Linked DNA regions of Saccharomyces cerevisiae S288C. The protein of the gene in region 1 interacts with the protein of each later gene in a biochemical or structural test. Each region holds a gene or a part of one and is shown in the gene's direction. Other genes may lie near its edges. The genes, in order: NMD5 and ASR1.

Region 1 (5,810 bases):
GCTATCATAGCAGCTATATACTATGTGCCATGGTACGAACACTTTGAGAGAAAGTCACCGGGGGCCGGAGAAATGAGAGATCGGATTGAAAGCATGTTCTTGGAATCGTGGAGAGACTATTCCAAGCATGGCTGGGGATACGATGTGTATGGACCTATTGAGCACACTTCCCATAATATGCCTCGTGGCAACCAGCCGTTAGGCTGGATTATCGTAGATTCAGTGGATACCTTGATGTTAATGTATAACTCCTCCACACTATACAAAAGTGAGTTCGAGGCAGAAATTCAGAGATCGGAGCATTGGATAAACGATGTTTTGGATTTTGATATTGATGCCGAAGTGAATGTTTTTGAAACTACTATTAGAATGCTAGGTGGTTTATTATCCGCATATCATCTATCTGATGTTTTAGAAGTAGGTAATAAGACTGTCTACTTGAACAAAGCAATAGATTTGGGGGATAGGCTTGCTTTGGCGTTCTTATCCACTCAGACCGGAATTCCATACTCAAGTATAAACCTTCATAGTGGCCAAGCGGTTAAGAACCATGCAGATGGGGGGGCATCTTCTACCGCAGAATTCACTACGCTACAAATGGAATTCAAATATCTGGCGTATTTGACAGGAAATCGTACTTATTGGGAGCTGGTGGAGCGTGTTTACGAGCCATTATACAAAAATAACGATCTTCTAAATACCTACGATGGATTGGTTCCAATTTATACATTTCCAGATACTGGGAAGTTTGGTGCTTCGACTATCCGGTTCGGATCAAGAGGTGATTCTTTTTATGAGTATTTACTAAAACAATATTTATTGACGCACGAAACACTTTATTATGATCTGTACAGAAAATCCATGGAAGGTATGAAAAAGCATTTATTAGCACAATCCAAACCCTCTTCTCTGTGGTACATTGGGGAAAGAGAACAAGGTCTACATGGACAACTTTCTCCTAAGATGGACCACCTCGTGTGCTTTATGGGGGGATTGTTAGCATCAGGCTCTACTGAGGGCCTTTCTATTCATGAAGCCCGAAGACGTCCGTTTTTCTCTCTTTCCCTTGAAAGAAAAAGTGACTGGGATTTGGCTAAAGGGATAACTGACACATGTTATCAAATGTACAAGCAGTCTTCCTCGGGGCTTGCGCCTGAAATCGTTGTCTTCAATGATGGAAACATAAAACAGGATGGTTGGTGGCGGTCGTCTGTGGGTGATTTTTTTGTTAAACCACTCGATAGGCACAACCTACAAAGACCAGAAACGGTGGAATCGATTATGTTCATGTATCATTTATCTCATGATCACAAATATCGTGAATGGGGGGCGGAAATCGCAACTAGCTTCTTTGAAAATACCTGTGTTGATTGTAATGACCCAAAATTAAGGCGGTTCACCAGTTTAAGTGATTGTATCACGTTACCTACAAAGAAATCTAACAATATGGAAAGTTTCTGGTTGGCAGAGACTTTAAAGTATTTATATATATTGTTTTTAGACGAGTTTGATTTGACCAAAGTTGTTTTCAACACAGAAGCTCATCCTTTTCCAGTATTAGACGAAGAAATATTAAAATCGCAGTCTCTGACCACAGGTTGGTCGTTGTAGGTTAGTGTGCTATATAGTGGCCAGATTCGCCTTTTAAAATTCACTATGCGGTGTGATGATGTGCTATACCATTTTTTCCATGTTTAGGAAAATGAAAAATTTGCAATGCTTACTTCAGCAAAAAAGTATATTTGAATCAATATTCATTTATATATTTCAGCATAATCAATCATTTTTCGTCTGGATATTTGACACAATTTTGATTTTGACGAAGACATTTTATTCTCGATGGATATTACAGAATTGTTACAGTGCTTTGCCTGTACTTTGGACCATAACGCTGCCGTAAGAACTAATGCAGAAACACATCTTAAAAATGCAAGTAAAGTACCGGGATTCTTAGGCGCATGCCTGGATATCATTGCTGCTGATGAAGTACCAGAAAACATCAAATTATCAGCTTCCTTATATTTCAAGAATAAGATTACATACGGATGGTCTGCTGGTGCAAGACAGGGTTCAAATGAATTATTAGATTCACATGTTGATCCGGATGAAAAACCAGTAGTAAAAGATATGTTAATTAAAACAATGGTCAGTGTGTCCAAGACCTCCCCGCGTTGTATCAGAGTGCTAAAATCTGCCCTTACTGTAATTATTTCAGAAGATTACCCTAGCAAAAAATGGGGCAATTTGTTACCAAATTCCTTAGAATTACTCGCAAATGAAGACATCACAGTAACATATGTCGGACTTCTGTGTCTTGCTGAGATTTTTAGGACCTATAGGTGGAAGAATAATGATGAAAGACAGGACTTAGAAGAGTTGATTTTAAATTATTTCCCTGCTTTATTAAACTATGGCGCAAATGTCCTTTTCCAAGATGGTAAATATATGAATAACGAGCAAATTGGCGAATTGGTAAAATTAATCATTAAAATTTATAAGTTCGTTTCATACCATGACCTACCATTTACATTACAACGCTCAGAATCGTTTACCCCATGGGCATGTTTTTTTGTCAGCATCATTCAGCAGCCATTGCCTCAGGAAGTTTTGGCTATATCAGATATTGAGGTCAGAAGTAAAAATCCATGGGTCAAATGTAAGAAATGGGCTCTTGCAAACCTTTATAGACTTTTCCAGAGATACGCATCAACGTCATTAACAAGGAAGTTTCAGTACGATGAGTTTAAACAGATGTACTGTGAAGAGTTTTTGACTCAGTTTTTGCAAGTCGTCTTCGATCAAATCGAGAAATGGGGAACTGGACAGTTGTGGTTAAGTGACGAATGCTTATACTACATATTGAACTTTGTTGAGCAGTGTGTTGTGCAGAAAACAACTTGGAAACTTGTTGGGCCCCACTACAATGTAATACTTCAACATGTCATTTTCCCACTACTAAAGCCCACTGCAGAGACTTTGGAGGCCTTTGACAATGACCCTCAAGAATATATCAACCGGAATATGGACTTTTGGGATGTCGGCTATTCCCCAGATCTTGCCGCACTGGCTTTGCTAACGACATGCGTGACGAAACGCGGTAAAACGACCTTACAACCGACCTTAGAATTTATGGTCTCAACCTTACAAAGTGCCGTTGGTGATTACAACAATATTATGTTGGATAATGCCTTGCAAATTGAGTCCTGTTTGAGAATATTCTCCAGCATTATTGACCGTTTGATAACTAAAGATTCTCCATTTGCCAGTGAGATGGAAAAGTTTATATTGACATACGTTTTACCTTTTTTTAAGTCTCAGTATGGGTTTCTGCAAAGTCGTGTTTGCGATATTTGTTCGAAGTTGGGTTCTATGGATTTCAAAGACCCGGTAATAACCTCTACTATCTACGAAGGTGTTATGAATTGTCTGAATAACTCTTCTAATTCTTTACCTGTAGAATTGACAGCTGCATTGGCATTGCAAACTTTTATCAGTGATGACCAGTTTAATATGAAGTTATCCGAACACGTTGTTCCTACTATGCAGAAATTACTAAGTTTGTCTAATGATTTTGAATCTGATGTCATTTCAGGCGTTATGCAAGATTTTGTGGAGCAGTTTGCTGAGCAATTACAACCTTTTGGTGTTGAATTAATGAACACTTTGGTCCAACAGTTTTTGAAATTAGCTATTGATCTGCATGAAACATCCAATTTGGATCCAGATTCCTTCACGAACGTTGATAGCATACCCGATGAATCTGACAAGCAAATGGCGGCGCTAGGTATTTTGTCGACTACGATATCTATTCTGTTGTCTTTTGAGAATTCACCTGAAATTTTAAAAAACTTGGAACAGTCATTTTATCCAGCTGCAGAGTTTATTTTGAAAAACGACATCGAAGATTTCTATCGCGAATGTTGCGAATTTGTAGAGAACTCTACATTCCTACTAAGAGATATCACACCCATCAGCTGGAAAATTTTGGAGCTGATTGGAGAATGTAATAGAAAACCAGATAGTATGGTATCTTATTATTTAAGTGATTTCATGCTAGCCTTAAATAATATCCTCATTTATGGAAGGAACGAATTAAAGAAGAACGAGTTTTACACAAAAATCATATTCGAAATATATCAAAAGGCTGTTACTGCAGAAGATAATTCGTTAGACGATCTTAGAGTGGTTTTTGATTTATCCCAAGAGTTGGTTCTTGCATTAGATGACAGTTTACCTCAACAATACAGAGAGCGCCTACTGGCGGATGTTGTCGGCTCTATTCTAACGCAAAAGAATGAATTGAAAACTAATGTTGTATTTAGTGTGACTGCTTTTAATGTCGTAATCTCAAATATGATAACAGAGCCTTTGATCACGCTTCAGTACCTGAAACAGCAAGGTTGTCTTGAAATCTTCTTTCAAACGTGGATTACAGACTATATTCCGAATTATAAAAGGTGCTATGATATCAAATTATCAGTTCTTGCGTTATTAAAAATTATACTGAAGTTAGAAAGCAACGATTATTCAGTGTTGAACTTAGAAAATTTGGTTCCGCAATTAGGGAGTATTGTTACGCAGTTAGCTTCGAGGCTACCAACGGCGTTAAGGCAATTAGCTAACCAACGCAAGGAATTCTCATCATCCGGTTTTGAAGAGGATACTAAGTGGGATGAAAATTTTCTTGACGTTGGAGACGATGATGAAAATGATGACGAGGGAGACCTTACTGAGAAATATCTGGAACTGATAAAAAATAGAGCCGATTCCTTGGACTTCGTAGATGGTTATGACGCAAAGGAAACTTTCGATGACCTAGAAGAGGACCCATTAACGGGGTCGATCCTGGACACAGTTGACGTATACAAGGTTTTCAAGGAGTCCATTGCGAACTTACAACATGTTGACAGCAATAGATATCAGGGAATCTTGAGACATCTGACCCCGGCTGATCAAGAACTATTCATGGGAATTATGAATGCCTAATTGAATTAAATGGCGATTGTATATTGAAACAAACACTGGATTACATAATTTAGATAGAAGAGAGAGGATATTATGCTCAAAGTTTGTTGCCTTTGCCTCGGCCAGTTGACTTTGATTTGATATCAAGATCTTTTTTTTTTATCTGGAGTCAATGCGATGAACCTAAAAAAATCACAAGCTTTTTTTATCTCTAAGCTGGGGAAAGAATCGTAGTTAAATCGGAAAGAAAAATATCTGAGTTTTGTCAGTCTTTCTTTTGCATAGCCCATCCTTGTACTAGATTTCATAAACATTGATCACTTCAAAATATACTTGTACCAAGATGGCCGAAAATGAGAGAATGTACATCTCCTATAATAATATTCACAAGCTTTGTCAGGGAGTGGCTAAACATATCTTAGCTAGAAACGAAAGACCTGATATTATTATCGCCATCACTGGTGGTGGTATGATCCCCGCAAGAATTATTAGGTCCTTTTTGAAAACTAAAGGACAAAAGAATATTCCGATTCAGGCCATCGGCCTATCTTTGTATGAAGATTTAGGGTTGGATAATAGCGTCGAAACTATCGGCAAAGAGGTCATCAGAACACAATGGCTGGACTTCGGTGCTTTGAACCAACATTTCGATTCCTTAATTGGTAAAAAGGTCCTAATTGTGGATGAAGTTGACGATACTAGAACTACCCTCCACTATGCTGTTTCTGAGCTGGAAAAAGAGATTGCTGAACAACAAAAGGTTTTGAATAGAATGAGTGAGGAAACCGTTATTTCTATCTTTGTTCTACATAATAAGGACAAACCAAAGAGAGCTGGACTACCTG
Region 2 (3,614 bases), on another chromosome or scaffold:
AAATGAAGAACATAAATACGAAAAATATTATAGTATTATGAATGATACTAAAGGTGGGTATTTACGCTTTCACAAAAGTCAATTGAATAAACTGAATTTACCTAATTTTGAAATATTGAATGATAATAGCCGGTCTGGATGCAAGAACTCCGATTATAAGTATTGCAAAATCCTTCAAATGGGAGCAATAATGAATTTGGGGATGCCCAGTAGAAAATTTTCTATTGTTAACTCCGCTAAAATTCATTGGAAAAAGGAATTTGCCATATTAACATCATTGGGGCTTTTGATCTGCGATAAAATGGACTGGATAAATCCACAGATGATGAAGGACCCAAAATCAGGAACTACAAACTATATAATTGATTTTAAATCAGGATTTTCTTTTGTTCCGGGAAGTACGATTGACGTGTATAACGGTTTATTTGCTGATAGGGAGCGAGATTCACTTGGGAAATCTCATTTCGCAAGTTTGGTACTTGCGTATACAGAGCATCATTCTACTGGGAGTCATACAAGCAACACAACTGCAGCAAGTAGCTCCGCCAAACACAATGAAGGAGTCTTCGAGCCATCTTCAGATGAAGAGGATAGCATAACGAATTCTACTGATGGTACGAGCAGTGTGAGTAACGGCGAGAGTGACAACGATAGTGTTTCTAGTTCAGATAATCAACTCAGTTCAAATGACAGTAATGAAGATTATCATTCCATTAAGGACGAGTATCCGATTTTCGAAGACGAAAATGCCGATTGTCTATTATACTTACATACATGTCATCGAAATTTTATCTGGAAATGTGCTAATAAGTATGAAAGGGACAACTGGATCGATTCTATCAATCTATTTTCAGCATATGACGGATGCTATGTGGAAATTGGTAGTATAGCAAACACTATTTGTAATAAGAGAAAGCTTACCATTTTGCAGAGGATGGAAAGACTTAGGTCTATAAAATCAGCCAAATGGGAGAAATTGAAAAAATTTGAAAGCACTCTGATGCTTATGGGAAAATGTGTTCCTATTAGCACAAAGACTAAGACAGATATGATAAACCGCATAAGACAGCTGGCTGTCAGAATGGACTGGTTAATCTACGAAATTAAGAGAAGCGAGCTGTTTGTAAGTATCATAAAAGAAGTGACTCGCAAGCAGGCTGAAAAGAATATCTTAGAGCATGGTAAAGGAGAAGAGGAGGGGCAAGGCAATAACGACGATAGTGATGGTATAGATGATATAGAGGAAAGCTTCTTATTCAACGAGAACAGTTTGCAAGTGTGCGTGAGCGACAGTAGTTACGACGAATATAGTAACGAATAAGGGGAAGAAAATAGTACCATGGGTTATAAATGCATGTTATTTATTTATATATTTTTACATATTCTATATGTATGTGTTATACCTTTTTCTTTTTCTCGAAATGTCTATCCAGTCTATTGCTGCCAAGGTTTAAGATCCTAGGACAGCCATCTTTATCTTTACCTAAGCGGCAGCACTCCCAACAATAGAATGCGTCATTGACTCCAACATTTAGATTACAAATTATACAATTTTTAGCTTGTTTACCAAACGAACAGTTTTCACATACTCTAACTTTCCTTTTGGGCCTTACATAAGAGTCGCAGATAGGACATTTGCCATCACATTTTTCACAAAGAAGACCTGTCTGTACACCAGGCTGCTTTAGGCACATTATTAGATCAAACTGATGGCGGGACATGTTTTTTTTGTTGGAGGCTTGTATGTGTGTGGATCTTTTTTGTATCCATCTTCATTTTCTATGTTGAATGCCTTAGTAAGTGAGAAATATGGCAAGTAATGCATATATGGAAGAACAGAAAGTGAGAAAAAAAAATAGAAAAAAAGATGCAAGGAGTTGAGCCAAGGGAGAGACCATACCCTCAGCCAAATATCCAAATATCATATAAAAAGATGGAAGAGTGTCCTATTTGTTTGGCAGATGACCAAGAGGGTGAACAATTTGGATGTTTGAACGTTTGCGGGCATAAATTCCACTTAAACTGTATAAGAGAGTGGCACAAGTATAGTATCAACTTGAAGTGCCCCATCTGCAGGGTTGAATCCACCCATTTAGAAGTTGGCGAAGGGCAACATGCACTTTCTATAAATTTGAAGATGGGGTTTATGATTAAGAATGCTATCGATTATGTGGGGGCCGAAACAACTAACGAAAGAAATGAGGACGATACAGGGGAGCAAGACCAAGAAATAGAATTTCTCAGCGAAAGGCTTAGAGGTACGCTGGTGATGGATACCATTAAGATAATTCAGTGCAGCATATGCGGAGACACAGATGTTTCTCGATTAAGCCTGTATTGCCAAGACTGCGAAGCAATATATCACGAAACATGTCTACGCGGGCTAGCTTGTGAGGTGGGCGATCGCAATACGTGGCAGGAGTGCACAGATTGTAGATCAAATGCATTGCTCGAGCTGCGCATGGGTGCTATCAGTAGCCAACTTGCTAGCTACGATTCCAGGAATTCCATGATTTTTGCTGGTGAGTTACGGGACAAGCACAGCGTCAAGACACAGCAGATGTATGAACAGATACGGAATGCCAAGCACAAAATCCAGATGCACGTGCGACGAGCACTGGACCGGTACCCACTGCCTCTGCTGCGCTTCAAGGATGCCTACAAGCACGTCAACAAGCAAGTATCCCGCAAGTTGTACCGTCTCTCTGACAACAAGTACCTGCCTGACCAGTACGATTACGACTCTTTAGCCCGAACTGGAGTGCACACAGAACTCCTAATTTACTGTCATGATGAGTAGTAATGCAATATAACATTAAAACAAGATATAAACAGTATAATACTCTAGTATGAGCCCTAAAAAAAACCCTCAGAAGCGGGTGACCCATCTCTCGTACGACGTATAAAAGCACAAGTTTGACCCATAGAATTTTTTTTTCACATCTTCCTTTGTTTGCTTCTTCGTCTTCAATAGAAAACAGTTGAACAAACTCAAATATAGCACCATTGTGAGTGCTACTGCACTACAAAGAGGCAGATTAAGCGACCAGTAGGTCCCTTGGAAGAGATAATATATGAGTTCCTTTTTTCTTTTTCCATTTTCTTTCTGTGTGACTCCCCTATGATTAAAAATTATTAATCATATACCAATTGTTCCGACTGAATAGTGGTTTAACTACATGTCGACAACCCTTTTTCGTTAAGTTTCAGCCTTGTATGAGGGGTGCCACGGAAGGGAAGAAAAGAAAGCATTTATCTTTCATTATTATCTTTTTCATGCCTGCAATGGAATTTTTAATTTTCCTTTTGATATGATGATTTGTTGTCGACCGGGCGGACATATTAGTATCTGTTAAAGGGTCGCCGTCTACTCTCATCGTTCTTTTGTGTACAAATTTTTTAAAGGAGCGATGTTGATGGCATTATGGTTCTTTAGTGGAGAATTGATGATTGGTCACAAGACATCTGATTTTTTCGGAAATTTGTTTCTTATTTCAATTTATTCCTTATCAGTTGATTTGGATGATAAAAGAGACTGTTGCGGACTAGTTTATTATGATGATTTTTTTATATTCACACTGTACTAGATTGGTCTCTTTAACGAAGGGGCTAAT

Evidence for each region.
Region 2: the proteins of NMD5 (region 1) and ASR1 form a complex in vitro, tested with the Saccharomyces cerevisiae proteins (one study listed by BioGRID).

The regions. Positions count from the first base shown.
Region 1 is NC_001142.9:667,683-673,492, forward strand, and holds NMD5 (Nmd5p), read left to right. Parts: upstream 1-1,839; coding exon 1,840-4,986; downstream 4,987-5,810. Other genes in the region: MNS1 (mannosyl-oligosaccharide 1,2-alpha-mannosidase), read left to right, coding at 1-1,611; XPT1 (xanthine phosphoribosyltransferase), read left to right, coding at 5,309-5,810. UniProt on the Saccharomyces cerevisiae protein: Active in protein import into the nucleus. Its major import substrate is transcription elongation factor TFIIS.
Region 2 is NC_001148.4:718,744-722,357, reverse strand, and holds ASR1 (ubiquitin-protein ligase ASR1), read left to right. Parts: upstream 1-1,933; coding exon 1,934-2,800; downstream 2,801-3,614. Other genes in the region: Arf family guanine nucleotide exchange factor SYT1, read left to right, coding at 1-1,321; U2 snRNP complex subunit RDS3, read right to left, coding at 1,398-1,721.